3 linked regions of the Rattus norvegicus genome follow. The protein of the gene in region 1 interacts with the protein of each later gene in a pairwise test. Links are inferred from orthologs where the notes say so. Each region holds a gene or a part of one and is shown in the gene's direction. Other genes may lie near its edges.

Region 1 (4,516 bases):
TTGAGGGGAGGTCACAGAGTAACTTTTGGGAACTGGTGTTCTCCTATCTTGTTCTGAAACAAGATCTCTCATTTCTGTCCATCCCTCATGCCAGGGTAGTGACCCGTAAGTTTGGGGGGGGGGGATCTTTAGCTTCCATCTTGCCTCAAGAGTGCTAAGGTTAGAGATGCATGTTCCCTCCCCTGGCTTTCTATGTAGTTTATAGGATCCATCACAAGTTAGCAGGCCTGTGCGGCAAGAACTTTTACCTGGTGAGCCATCACACTGGCCTGAGAGAGCAGTTTTTAAGCCCAGCATCCACCGGAGTCTAAAAATTTGCCCAAATGGCACATCGGAGTCACCAGACCCTCTCAGCCCAACATCCCTCTGGAAGACTCAATGTGGCCTCCTCTAGCTGGTATGTTTTCAGATGTGGACCCTTCTAGAGGAGAGATCTGGGCTTCATAGCTTCCTGTTGCTTCCCGGGTTTCTGGGAAGAGGGAATAGAATGGGAGAAGAGTCTGGTTTCATCCTGGTCTCTGCCAGAAGCCCACTCCCTGTACCTCCCTCTCCACCCCCACCTCTGTGAGCCTTGGCTTGTCTGCTGCTCCTCCCTTCCTGCTCTCATGCTCCCTCACACATCCAATGCTGACCCAAGCAAAGAACATTCTGGGATTCCCAAGGACACCATGATGCGCTGAGATCAGCAGTTTTCAAGCCTGCCTAGAGCCCAAATCCTAAGGGGTGGCCAAAGGAACTCTGCTTGGAAATGGGCAGGCTTTGAGCTTACCACTAGCCTGCTGTCTACAGTCATTGCATGGGTGAGCAAGAGCAGGGCCTGAGAGCTGTGGTGAGCATAGAGCTCTGCTTTCATGGAAGAAGATTCTGAAGCTTCTCTGCCCAGGGTCAGCACCTTCACTCAGTTTTCTCCTCACCTTGTTTTCTGTTTTGTTGTTGTTGTTGTTGTTGTTGCTGTTGTTGTTGCTGTTGTTGTTGTTGTTGTGTTAAGATTTATTTATTGTATGTATGTGAGTACACTGTAGCTGCCGCTTTCATGCACACCAGAAGAGGGCATCAGATCCCATTACAGATGGTTGTGAGCCACCATGTGGTTGCTGGGAATTGAACTCAGGACTTCTGGAAGAGCAGTCAGTGCTCTTAACCACTGAGCCATCTGTCCAGCCCCAGCTCCTCTCCTCACCTTGTAACCTAGTATACGTAGGTATAGGTGTCGGCATCGGTAGATACATATCCTATTCCTTCACAAATTCTTCCATGTGACCAGGGGCAGAGGCAGCAGAACACATTGGTCCTGATGCAGGGACCCACGAGCAAGGACAGAGGCAAAGGTGCCCTGGCTCACTGCCTGTCCCCTCTACAACCCACACCTTGGACCCCCACCCAGTACATCCATGGGGTACATGCCTACAGGCTTCAAGAGGTACCTGACTAACAGCTGGCCTCAAGCACACAAGTGAAGCACAAGTGTCCCTACCCAACTCTCTCCAAGCTATGTTTCCTGGAAATCTGTCCTGAAAGGGAGGAGACGGGGAAGGAAGAGATCCAATCGGAGGACCTGGCAGAGGCCTGGTGGCCTCCAGAGCTGCCAAGGAGGCAGGGAAGCCCATAGACAACGATCATGCTAAGGGACCTTCGCTTCTGTAACCCCCGCCCCCCCTAGAGTGCCACGGTAGGCTTGCGCCCTCGCAGTGGCAAGGGTGTCCATCTGGCAGTACAAGGGACATCAGTTACCTCTCCTAGTCTAACTTCAGAGAACTTTAGTCACACCAAGTCCTGGAAAAGCTGAATCAGAAATCATTCTAGATGCTCCCACCGGAGTGCAGGGAAACGGCTCTGTGCCGGCGCATCTCAGAAGGGACAGAGGAGCCTCCTGGCTTGTCAGCTGCTGTCACTCCTGTACCAGAACAGGAAAACAAACCTGCTAGGCGACCTCTGGTTATGTGGGCTAGTACACTAGAAGAAGTCCTCTGATCTAGGAGAGGCATTGGTCTGTGAATGCTCCCCTCCTCCACTAGCAGGGCTCCCCCCTCCCTTCCCCCTACCCTTGCCATGTGTGTGTGTGGGGGGGGGAGTTAACTCTCATCAACACCTCTGCAGATGGTGACAGGCCCTGCTGGGTCCTGTTGGGGGAGGGAGCAGGTTTAATCCTCAGTCATAGGAAGGGGAGAAGTCTCTACAGAGCTGGCACATCTAGGGCTGGGAAGCCCTGTTCTCACCTCCTAATGAGACAACTTGTTAGGCAGGGACCACAGTCTGCAGCACGTGAGGGATGGGTCAGGGGATGTGGAGTTTGAAATCTTTTGGAAATTTCTGCCCAGGTGATGAAAATACCAGACAAAGGCTGAGGTGGGGAAGGGCTGCTAGGACGATTAAGGGAGCCTGGCTTCTGCTGCGCTCACCATGCAGTACAATGGTCCTGAGAATCTGAATGAAGTAGCATTCCTAGATGTACCTGGGCTAAGCCATGCTGCCTTCTCTTCCCATGCTAGGAGTCAGGAGGGCGGGGCAGAGTGGTGCATCATGTCAGGTCCCAGTCCCCATATGTGAGATGACAGAGGTGGTCTAAGGTAAAGATATAGGAAAGAAGAAAGGTAGAGGTCACTAGGACCTGAGGAGCATGTGGCACGGAGGAGTTACAGAGGTAAAAGCAGGAGCAGAAACCGGAGGACAGACAGATTGCTTACAAACTAAGGTGGGCTGACTTCTGCTGCACACGGGGGCACACCAAAGGCTAAGGAAGAAGCAAGAGGTAGAGAGAAGTACAGAAGTAGAGAGAAAATGGCTTCCTAGGCTACTGTTCTGTAGTTGGGGGAGCAGGTAATGTTACAGAGAGGAAAAGGTACTGGTCAGTCGGGCCTATCCAGCCACTAGCCCTGGGCCACATCCAGACTCCTGCAGGCAAGACTGTCTGTGAACACAGCTAAACACAAAGTCATAGGCTTATCTGAAATGTAAACCTTGTATTTTCCAATCATATCATTTTTATTTTATTTACTATTATTGTATACGTGTGGGTGAGTGCAAGAGCGTGCGTGCCACGGCGTGCGTGTGGAGACCAGAGAAAACATTTTTAGAAGTATTAACTTCCCACCATGGGTTCCCACAATCCAATTCTCGCCATCAGGCTCACACAGCAAAGGTTGAGCTAACTCACTGACACGTCTGTAGTTTTGTAACAAGGTCTCGTGTAGCCCAGGCTGGCCTCAAACCGGAGGAGCCAAAGATGACCCTGAACTTCTGGTCCTTCCAATGCTCCTGCCTCTTGAGGGCTGGTGTGCACCACCACACCAGTTTTTATGAAATTTCTTCATGATTTCTGTTTTGTTTTGTAAATTATACCATGGAAAGTTTTGACCCACCTGGTAGAAGTTACCAGTAACAGTAAAGAGAAATACTCCATCAAAAGAGTCCACTTAGCCCTGGCTTTCCCCACAGGTTCCTGAAGAACCACAGGACCGCCTGGATACCTCTCTGGACCCATATCCTGACACCAACTACCTGGCTCCCTGTAATAAGGAGACTGTCATGGTCACTCTGTATGGAGCTACCAACCTTCCTACCTGCAAGGATAGCTCTGAACCGTGGCCCTACGTGGTGGTGTAAGTAGCTGGGAAAACTGAGGTAGGACTGGGTCTGGGTCTGCAAACAGAAACCATCTGATGAATATTTGGAAAGTGAGCTCCTGTGCAAATGAGAGACCTGTCTTGTCCCTGGCTGTGTGGTAACCCATGCCAGGACTGAGCTCCGCCTGACCTCACAGGGGCAAGCCCTTGTCTGTAGTGCCTAGGCTGTGTTCAGTGTGGGATGGGGATGGTCTAGGGGAATGTTACCAGCCTGGGCATTTGAAGTCTGTCCCCAGAGGGTGGGGGAGCAACTAGGGACAGATAGTTAGAAAGAGAAACAGCACTCAGAAGAATTGGTGAAGGCTAGAAAAGCAAACAGAAAAACTCGGAGGTGCTAATTACCCTTCTACTGGTCATTTCCATCCCACTGAGTATAGACCACCCCTGGCTTTCCCCCTGGAATGCTCTGAAACGTGAGCCTGGGTAGGGAAGGACTTCTGGTCTTTCTCTGCAAACTGGCCTTCTGCCTACTTTAATCTACGTGCAGCTTTCTCGAGTCCTCACTCTCCTGTTGCAGAAAGACTTGAGGTCTGCCTTCCTGGCTTTTGGGACCCTAAGAGGCCTCGCTGCTCGAAGCTACCCTCCTGTGGGTCCTTGCCTCTTCCTAATCATTTCTGTCATGGGGCTTTTAGTCCTTTACCACAACACACGTAAACTCTGCTGCTCTTTGCGCATGCTCATTTACCCCGGTGGAGAGGGCCTGTCATACCATGTCTTCTGCCTATCTCGTGATCCTCAGTTCTCCTCAAAGAGCATATAAGGCAACATAGTAGCCAGCCAGCCCTCCCTCTGTTCTCATTCTCCATGTCGCCAACAATGCACCCCACATACACACAGACAAATGGGCCAAGGGAACAAAAGCCAGGCTAAGATGACAATCAGCCCACTCAGAT
Region 2 (4,516 bases), on another chromosome or scaffold:
GCTGGGGGCTTACTTACACTTTTAGAATCTTAAGCCGTTATTATCATGGCAGGGAGCACAGCAGCAGGCAGGCATAGTGCTGGAGATATAGATGAACCACAAGCAGAGAGAGAGAGACATTGGACCTGGCGTGGACTTTTGAAACCTCAAAGCCCACCCCCAGTGACACACTTGTTTCAACAAGGCCATGCCTTCTGAACCTTCTAATCTATCAATGAGTTTTACTTTGTGGTGACTGTATGAGCCTATGAGGGACATTCTTACTTAATCCACAAAGGTATACATGAGTTCCTGGATGTAAACCCTGTGTTCTGACCTCACCTCTTTTTGCAGGTGTGGCTGGAGGGCTGACCAACCTGTCTAAGATGCCTGCCTGCAACATCATGCTGTTGGGAGCCCAGCGCAAGACACTGTCTGGCTTCTCTTCTACCTCAGTGCTGCCTCACACTGGCTACATCTACCACAGTGACATTGTGCAGTCTCTGCCCCCAGTGAGTACTTCACCTTGACCCCTAGCCCCAGCCACTAGGCCTTATCTGGCTTGGCTGGCAATAGCCCTCAGGCTCCTGGAGGATGAGGCAACATGGTTGGAAGAGCAAGGATACTATTCTGGGTCTGCCACTTGGCAATGAGGATGGTTGGGTGGCTGGAAACCAGGGGCAGCTAGAGCATACCCCTCAAGAGGCAGTTATTAGGAAAGCGCACAGGCATAAGGCCTACCTCCCAGAGTCTGGGGTATGGCTGGCCCTAGATGAGAAGTGATTATTGTAGTGGCTGTTACCTTTGCTAGAGGTTCAGTTTCCTTTCCCCTTCCCATTGCTCTAGGATCTTCGGCGGAAGGCAGCCCGCCTAGTGGCTGCCAAATGTACACTGGCAGCTCGTGTGGACAGTTTCCATGAGAGCACAGAGGGGAAGGTGAGGAGAAGATCTTTTCCTTGTGCTTGGGGTCTTTTCATAGGAAGATGCTACTTCAGAGAGCTGTCCAGACTAGCAGACGGCAGTGTGTGTCTCAACCCCAACTAAGGTCATCACATTCTCAGCTCTGTCTATCAGTTATAGAACAGCTATGACAACTCACTGTAGATGGAGTAACTACATATAAAAGTTTGGTAGACCTGCTAGCTCATATCTTTAACATCAGTACTTGGGAGGCAGAGGCAGAAAGGTCACTAGTTTTCGGCAGTCTGGGTTATATAATAAATTTCAGGCTAGACTGGGCTGCATAGTAAGATCTTGTCTTTGAAAAAGGAAAAAGCACAGAGCCAGAGATGTGACTCCATAACTTAAGTTCCTGCATGCAAGCGTTGAAGACTTGTTCAATTCCTAGTACTCCTGTTAAAAAACAAACAGGCCCAATAGTACATACCACTAACTAACCCCATTGTTGGGAAGATGGAAGAGGGAGGACATTTGGAGCTTGTAGGCCTCTCAACCAAATCAGTAAGCTCCAGATTCAGTGAAGAGACCCTGTCTCAAGAAATAAGGTAAGGAGGTAGTGTAGAAGCCATGTGATACCAAATCTTTGGTGTTTTGTGGGTGCACGCATGTGCACGTACACAGTTTCACTGGACTAACATTAGGTGTTAGACGGGCAGTTCCCATTTGTAGGCTCCTGGGAAGAAACACTCCTGCCCCTGTCTGTATCAGAGTTTACTAGGCAAGGCAGCACCTTCAGCCCCTGACTGCTCGTTTTGGGCCCTTTGTTGAGCTCATACTGTCAATACAAGGTACTGTCACATCTCAGTCCTTAATCACATCTGCAAAGATCCTCTGCCATGTGAACTGTAGCCACGAATTCTAGAGACCAGGATACCTGACACCAAGGTGGAGCCCTGTGTTTGAGGGAACAGTGTTTTGCCCACTACAGTAGGACCTGTCCTGTGCTAGCAGGGGCATGATTCCAGTGATACCTTCTGTTTTTCTGGGTAGGCTTAAGAAATAGTGTTGTGTGCATTTCCCTACTAGAAATTACATTATAGCCCAAGTCAGGGGTTTAGTCTCTTTTGCCTTTTACCACTTTCTAAACAAGGCAGCATACAGCAGGGGATTACATAGGTGTCAGAGGTCTGCCTCCATGGCTCTTGTATATGTCTGTGGTGGGCATACTGGGATTGAACCTAGGACTCTACACGTACTATACAACTGATCTACCACTGAGCTGCATCCTCAGCTCACCCTCACCCTCACCCTTTTCAAGACAGGTCTCATCTCTAGTCCAGGAAAGCTTTGAAGGATTTTTGATCCTCCTGCCCCAGCTTCCCTGGTAGCTAGGAATGGAGGTCAGTGGTTACACAGCATTTATGTTCTAGTTGGGACCAAAACAAGGCAGTAGTCCTGAAAAGAACCTGTAGTGGGTTCAGTAGTGCTGTGTGAATACCAGGGACAATAAGGGGAATTGTGGGGTGAGGAAGCTTAGATTTTGACTGACTTAGGATGTGAAGAAGAGCTTTGAGGAAATTTTAGTATGGGCCTGTGTGAAGTTACAGTCAGTTCTGTGGATACTTGTGCTATCTACTTGGAAGAGTGTTCCAGACAGCGGGAATAGTGAGTGCAAAGAACCTGAGGCCAGAGTTTGGTGAAACCCAGCAGGGAGAGGAACTTGCTGTACCCAGGAGCAGATATGTACAACCTCTGGAGGCCTCTGGCTGCTGTGGAGGTACTGGAAAGCAAGCTAGCTGGGACCTGCTCTAAGAGGCCAGGGGATCAGTAGTGTGGTAGTAAGACAGTGGAGATGACATTCTGTCTGTTGACTAGGGATATGGGGATTCTGCCTGGCCCATTTATGTTTGAAGAACTCAGGCAGAGGAAATTTTCCAGAGGGTGCAGAGCTTAGATGTGAAGGCTAAGCTACAAGTTCAAGAGCAGTAGACACTGGAACCCACAGGATACCATTCCTGGAGAAAGGGAGAACATGTCTTTGGGAGGGTACACCATCAGGTGGTCAGATATACAGTAAATGGGTTGATGATACGTAGATGTGCAGCTGAGGGGACAGTCTACATTGCTGGCCACAGCTTCTCAACTCCCTGCTAGGTGGGCTATGAACTAAAGGACGAGATTGAGCGCAAGTTTGACAAGTGGCAGGAGCCACCACCTGTGAAGCAGGTGAAGCCCCTGCCTGCACCCCTTGATGGGCAGCGGAAGAAGCGAGGGGGCCGAAGGTAAGGAGTTTGATGTTTGGAGTTGGGAAAGGGAAACTTCTTCCCAGCCAACTGCCTATATCCTGTTGATACCCACCTTACCCTAGGTACCGCAAGATGAAAGAACGGCTAGGACTGACTGAGATCCGGAAGCAGGCCAACCGCATGAGCTTTGGAGAGGTCAGGTTCCATCCATAGCACCAATAGGACCTTGTAGGATCTTCTCTTTGCACATCCTGCTGCTATCCCTCCTCTCTACCCTGTAATCCAACAGCAGATCTAGGGCTACCCTAGCCTCCTCCATCCTGACTGGCCTCTCCTCTCAAACCACCTCCATGGTGATCTTTGCAGCTTCCCAGGCTGCATCTATATCTATCATCTAGGTGGTCCTGAAAGAATAAATGTAGGTGCTACCTTAGTAGTGCAGCTCATCCCAATTCTTGGCAACCTAATCTGAATGTAGAGAAAAAAATGACTACTCTACTCAGGTCAGGAACTAGTTCTTCCCAGGGTTCCTAGCTATACCCAAGCAGAGTTAGGGTAGGCTCTTAAAAGATTATTTAGTGCAGCCTGGCTAATGAGGTGATGCCCATGAGACTGGCTGATTGGAGAATCTGTGGGTTCTCAGTGGACTGCCCCAGGGTACGGCTGAATATACCTAGCTTCTTAACAGCAGGTTACTCCTATCTCACCAGATTGAGGAGGATGCCTATCAAGAAGACCTGGGCTTTAGCCTGGGCCACTTGGGCAAGTCAGGCAGTGGGCGTGTGCGGCAGACACAGGTGAATGAGGCCACCAAGGCTAGGATCTCCAAGACACTACAGGTATGATCTGGGCCCATGAGAATGGGAGGCAAATGGGACATGGAGGTCAGTAAGCTTGAATCACAGCCTCTTCTTTCCCTTACAGCGGACCTTACAGAAACAGAGTGTGGTGTATGGTGGGAAGTCAACAATTCGTGACCGCTCCTCGGGGACTGCCTCTAGTGTGGCCTTCACTCCACTCCAGGTACCGTACCCTTTTCTACCAGGCATGTGATAAGGCTGCTGTGGAGGCCTGTTGAGCTAGCACATGAGCTTAGGCATCCATAGCCGCACAGTAAGTGCCCAACAGTTGACCGTGACAGTTGTGACAAGCTCAGACCAACTTTGGAACCAGGCCTAGGACTCTGCCTGTGTGATCCAGATACTCTCTGAGCTTCCCAGTCTTTGCTTTAAGATAGCCCTGTAGTCAAGGTCATCAGGGTGGGCTTGAGTATCATACTAGTAGCACTGAGCAGTGTGAAGCAGAATGGCCTCAGGTTACTTACCAGAGAGATAGGCAAGTGTGTCCCATAATGTCACAAGGAACTAAAGAGCTCCCAGCTTGCCAGAACT
Region 3 (5,039 bases), on another chromosome or scaffold:
CTCTGGGAGAGGGGCCAGCACAGAGGGAGGGGGATGCTGGAAAATCTGATTTTGCCAAAACTAAAAAAAATAAAAAATAAAAAAAATTCATGAAGCAGCTGCTTAATGGGGAGAATGTCTGTCTCTCTGTGCTTCTCTGTGTGTCTATGTCTGTCTGTCTGTCTCTCTCTCTCTGTCTTTCTGTCACACACACACACACAGACACACACACACACTCCTGCCCAAGAACTTTCTCCTGTCTTTCCTTAACACAGTATCTTTTCCAGAGATTCTTACAGCTCCATTTACAGGGATAGAGAGGGCACTGTCTTTTAAACCCATCCAACAGCAACTTTTCTTCATTAAGCACTTTGTATGTGGTCAAAACTGGGCTCCACCTCCTCACCATTGCCTACTTTAAACTTCTATAGAGGACTGGCCAGTGACCTTCACTAAAGTGTCATCAAGGCCAGCCTAGAGCTGACCAGAGTATTCACTATCACTATCATTTAGAAAACCCATGGGTTGTAACCCCTCTAATAAACCTCTATCTCCAAAAATATTTACATTATGACTCATAAGAATAGCAAAAATTATCATTATAAAGTGGCAACAAAAATAATTTTATGATTGGGAGTCACTACAACATGAGTAACCGTTGTGGTCACAACAAGGGTCACAGCATTAGGAAGGTTGAGAATCACTGATTTAAGAGATCAGGCATCCCACACACCTTTTCTGCATGTACCCCCTCTTCTAGATGTCTCCAGTAAAGGGCAGCTTACACCTAGAGCCACATGACTTTTCGTAGAATATAATGGTCATGCTCACTCTTCAAGGCAACCTTTCTCTGATCCAGATCCTTAGTGAGCCTCCGTCAATTCCCATGGTTTACCTTTAGGCCAGCAGTTTGGAACCTCTGGGATACTATTCCTTTGGGTCTCACATATTAGATATCCTTCATATTAGATATTTATAATTTATAATAGCAAAATTACACTTATGAAGTACAACACAATAATTTTATGGTGGTGGTGGGGTCATCACAATATGAGGAACTGTATTAAAGGGTCGGCAGCATTAAGAAGGTTGAGAGATACTGCTCTAGGCTTTGCACACTGTCTAGGCCTCTAAGGTCACACCAAGCTTAGAGACTCTGCCAAAGAAGACTTCTCCCCTCAAAACTCCTCAGGGCCCAAGGTGGATGGAACAGTGAGTTAGGCAGGTACAAGGTGTACCCATCTACATGCATCACATAGCAGGCACCTTCTGATTGTGCCCATTGGCATGCCCTGGACCTTTGGAAAGCTGCTTGGTCCTACAGTGTTGGCGGCCTCTTGTCCCAGTGCTAGCCCCATTTCCTCCCGGATGGAACTAGGCGGCAGAGAGGACGGTGGGAATGGGCCTGTACAGGTGTGCAGGCCAGGGCCATGGAGCCTGTGAAGACCAGCGGAGATGGGTAGCGAGTGCCAGGGGTCTGTGGGTGGTTATGTAGGTGATGAGAGTCCTGTATGACAGCACTTGTGCACACAAAGAGCTCGCAACAGCGTCAGGCGCTGTGGAAAGGTTTGCTCTCAGGATTGGACTCTTCACATTGCTGTGGACCAGACTGTGGCTGAGAATCCTAGGCACTGGAAATCAGGATGAAGCCACAAAGGTGTGTAAGATTTCACAGCTTGGGAAATCACAAGCCAGTTTTGGTCCGCTGAGAACACTTGTCGCCCCTCTAGTACGTTGAGCTTTAGCACCCTCAGATAGCCTAGCTAGCCCCGCCCCTCAGCTGCCTAGCTCTCAAAGGAAGTCTCCGCTGCCCCAAAATCTCTCCCGCAAGCCCCTCCCTCTTCCTGTTCGAGTCAATCTCACACAAGTGTGACGTTTGTATTTGCCAGTCCAGCCTGCTAGACTGGTCTGTACTGGCCGCTCCGGCGGATTTGGGCCTGCCCTGAGGAGAGCGCGCAACCTGCGTAGCAGCGGCTGTGACGCAAACGTGACGGCGGCTTGACGCGCCCACAGCCGCTCTTGAGGCGCTGGCGCTTCCTCTGCTAGGCTCCGAGCTGTCTGTTTCTTGGGCCCTGTGTATAGGTGCCGGCCGCCCCTGGCGTTCAACACCGCTTCCAGGTGCCGGCCGTGTCTGCCATGGACGACTATGCGGTTTTGTCCGATACTGAGCTGGCCGCAGTGCTACGCCAGTACAACATCCCGCATGGGCCTATTGTGGGTATGCTGCAGCCGGTGGCGCTCAGAACCTCTCGGTCCCCCGCTTTCCCGCGCTCCTCCCTGAGCGTTCTTCCTACCTCCTCCTTCCCTCAGGTCCCCTCCCCGTGTTCCCTTGTGCTCTTGGGGTGCTCGGCTCGCACCCGCTGACCGCTTCGCACCCTGTGTCTGGGCAGGCTCCACTCGCAAGCTCTACGAAAAGAAAATCTTCGAGTACGAGACCCAGAGAAGGAGGCTTTCGCCCCCCAGCTCGTCATCGTCTTCATTCTCCTATCGGTTCTCAGGTGAGGCTCCAACTGCACAGCCCCAAAGAGCAGCTTGGGGCACAAGGCGCAGGGAGGGAGGGTGTGGCTGAAGCTACTGAGGGAGTAGGGGGAAGTCTGGAGATTGAAGGTCCTGTACCTTCTCCTCCACATGCAGACTTGGATTCAGCCTCCGTGGACTCAGACATGTATGATCTGCCCAAAAAGGAGGACGCCTTACTTTACCAGAGCAAGGGTAAGGCAGGTGTGGGATGGGCACTGATGTCTTTATCCCATGCTTCAGGGATTTGGGCACAGTGAAACTCCAGACCTCACCCCCTTGTACCAGTTCTCAGTGGCTTCAGAGAGAAGAAACTGGCACAGCACACACACAGACTGGGGGGGGGGGGCGGAAGGTGGCAAGAGGCCAGGTAAGGGGCACCACTTTTTCCTCTACCACTGTTTTCTTCCTCAAGACTATAATGATGACTACTATGAGGAGAGCTATTTGACTACCAGGACATACGGGGAGCCCGAGTCTGTGGGCATGTCCAAGAGCTTCCGCCGGCCAGGGACCTCACTTGTAGATGCTGATGATACCTTCCATCACCAGGTGAGTTGTCTGGTAGGCATACCTGGGGTGTATGTAGCCTTAGGGAATTCTAGGTTTGGATAGTTCAAGGAGATACTAGGTGCAGAGAGTGGATCTTAGGCCTTCAAGTATGGTTAGGATCAGCATACAGTTGTTGGCTCAAAAGTTCTACGTTGGAACCTCCAAAACTATTAGATTTGGGGATGAGCATATATAGCTCAGTAGAAGAGCATTTACCTATGGTTTCATCTCCAGCATCCAGCAGCACACACAAATGTTTTTGGGGTTTTGGCATTTTTAAAAATTTAATTACTTTAATTATACCTATGTGTAGCCAATTTTTTGTTAGTTTGTGGGTTCCCCTCACCCTTTCACCCCCAATCATTAGATAGAGAAAGAGAGCTAAAGATCCCTGAATCTAATTTCTTTCTTCCTTGTGTCTTCTTTGACCCCAGCTACTAGCAAACTGTAACCAACCTCACCTATTGGGGCTCTAGTATTTACATACCCTCTGAAAAATTCCCAGAATTCCAAATACCACAAAATTGCAGAAACTATCTGCAACTCAAAAGCATGAAGCAAATCATAGCTGCTGTAAAACAGCCCCATATCCCACATCTAGGGTTAAAATAAAAACATTCTTATAATATTTCTGTGTTTCTTAAGCCAAATTTCAAGAATTCTCACTACATGTATGTGTCTGTGGGTAGTATGCATGAGTGCTGGTGCCTACAGATGCCAGAATTGTCAGATTTCCCCTTAGATTCCCCTTAGAGCTAGAATGGCAAGTAGTTGTAAACTGCCTGATGTGAGTGCTGGAAAATGACCTTAGGTACCTAGGAAGAACAATAGGTGCTTTTAACCACTGAGGCATCTCTGCAGCCCACAAACTTTTATGATCTGAGCATATATAACAGCACCTGTACTCTAGGATGTAGGTTTAAGCCTCCTGAGAATCCTGGGGAATAAAAGGATGGTGGGACAAAGTTGACAAGGTTTGTAACTGGGTGGCAAGGCCCCACAGTTAAAGAGGGCATGGACCCAGAATGATGGGGGGGCAATTTTCTGCCCCCTACAATGTGACTAGAGTAGGCTAGCCAGAGACATTTGGGGAAACCATTCTTTCCCATTTCTAATCCTAATTATCCGGCAGGTGCGTGATGACATTTTCTCTTCTTCAGAAGAGGAAGGCAAGGATAGGTGAGTAGTGAACACATGTAGGGACAGGGACAAGTTTGACACTCAGACTCTCCTGCCTACCTGTCCCCTTCTTTTGCTACAGGGAACGCCCCATCTATGGCCGAGACAGTGCCTACCAGAGCATCGCACACTACCGCCCCATTTCCAATGTCTCCAGGAGCTCCCTGGGCTTATCATATTATCCTACATCCTCCACCTCTTCTGTGTCCTCCTCTTCATCTTCTCCCTCTTCATGGCTTACCCGACGTGCCATTCGACCAGAAAAGCAGGCCCCTACTGCTGCTCTGGGCCAGGATCGACAGGTCCCACTCTGGGGCCAGCTGTTACTCTTCCTGGCCTTTGCTGCCTTTCTGCTCTTTGTTTACTATTCCATACAAGCTGAAGAAGGCAACCCCTTCTGGATGGATCCCTAAGGGTATTGGTTTCAGAGCAGCTCTTAACAGGAGTTTTGGCTGACTGCCTTAGCAGTGTTTGCTGGGGGTGGGGGGTAGGGGCTTTTTTGTGTATTCTAGTTAGAGGGTACAGGGCCTAGCCTACGGCAGTGCTTGTCTCCACCTCATCTTGCCAAGGAAGCAGCAAATGCTGGCTTTCCACAGCCCAGTAGGCCCGTATGTACCTTCCTCTGGAGCCTCCTAGCCTTATTGCCTCTGACTCTTAGGGTATGGGGATCTGGTGGGGAGGACCTCACTTCATTAGAGGAAAACTTGGTGGTGGCAGTGGTAGTTGTCATGCATGCCTGTTTGTTGTCACCTTTTCAGGGGGTATTAACAAGGCCATCCTGGCTTTGCTTTCGTGGACACAATAATAAACAT

The links.
Region 2: the proteins of Ccdc33 (region 1) and Prpf31 interact in binary tests that used the Homo sapiens proteins (3 or more experiments, as listed by UniProt). The two-hybrid records come from large-scale screens. The link is inferred for Rattus norvegicus from reciprocal best matches to the Homo sapiens genes CCDC33 and PRPF31.
Region 3: the proteins of Ccdc33 (region 1) and Emd interact in binary tests that used the Homo sapiens proteins (3 or more experiments, as listed by UniProt). The two-hybrid records come from large-scale screens. The link is inferred for Rattus norvegicus from reciprocal best matches to the Homo sapiens genes CCDC33 and EMD.

What each region holds. Positions count from the first base shown.
Region 1 is NC_086026.1:67,406,395-67,410,910, reverse strand, and holds part of Ccdc33 (coiled-coil domain-containing protein 33), read left to right. Parts: intron 1-3,435; coding exon 3,436-3,599; intron 3,600-4,516.
Region 2 is NC_086019.1:74,492,692-74,497,207, reverse strand, and holds part of Prpf31 (U4/U6 small nuclear ribonucleoprotein Prp31), read left to right. Parts: intron 1-333; coding exon 334-491; intron 492-825; coding exon 826-915; intron 916-3,033; coding exon 3,034-3,161; intron 3,162-3,247; coding exon 3,248-3,320; intron 3,321-3,835; coding exon 3,836-3,964; intron 3,965-4,049; coding exon 4,050-4,148; intron 4,149-4,516. UniProt on the Homo sapiens protein: Involved in pre-mRNA splicing as component of the spliceosome. Required for the assembly of the U4/U5/U6 tri-snRNP complex, one of the building blocks of the spliceosome.
Region 3 is NC_086039.1:157,188,430-157,193,468, forward strand, and holds Emd (emerin), read left to right. Parts: upstream 1-2,008; 5' UTR 2,009-2,115; coding exon 2,116-2,197; intron 2,198-2,289; exon of another isoform or gene 2,290-2,369; coding exon 2,370-2,477; intron 2,478-2,613; coding exon 2,614-2,691; intron 2,692-2,911; coding exon 2,912-3,048; intron 3,049-4,180; coding exon 4,181-4,227; intron 4,228-4,309; coding exon 4,310-4,640; 3' UTR 4,641-5,020; downstream 5,021-5,039. UniProt on the Homo sapiens protein: Stabilizes and promotes the formation of a nuclear actin cortical network. Stimulates actin polymerization in vitro by binding and stabilizing the pointed end of growing filaments. Inhibits beta-catenin activity by preventing its accumulation in the nucleus.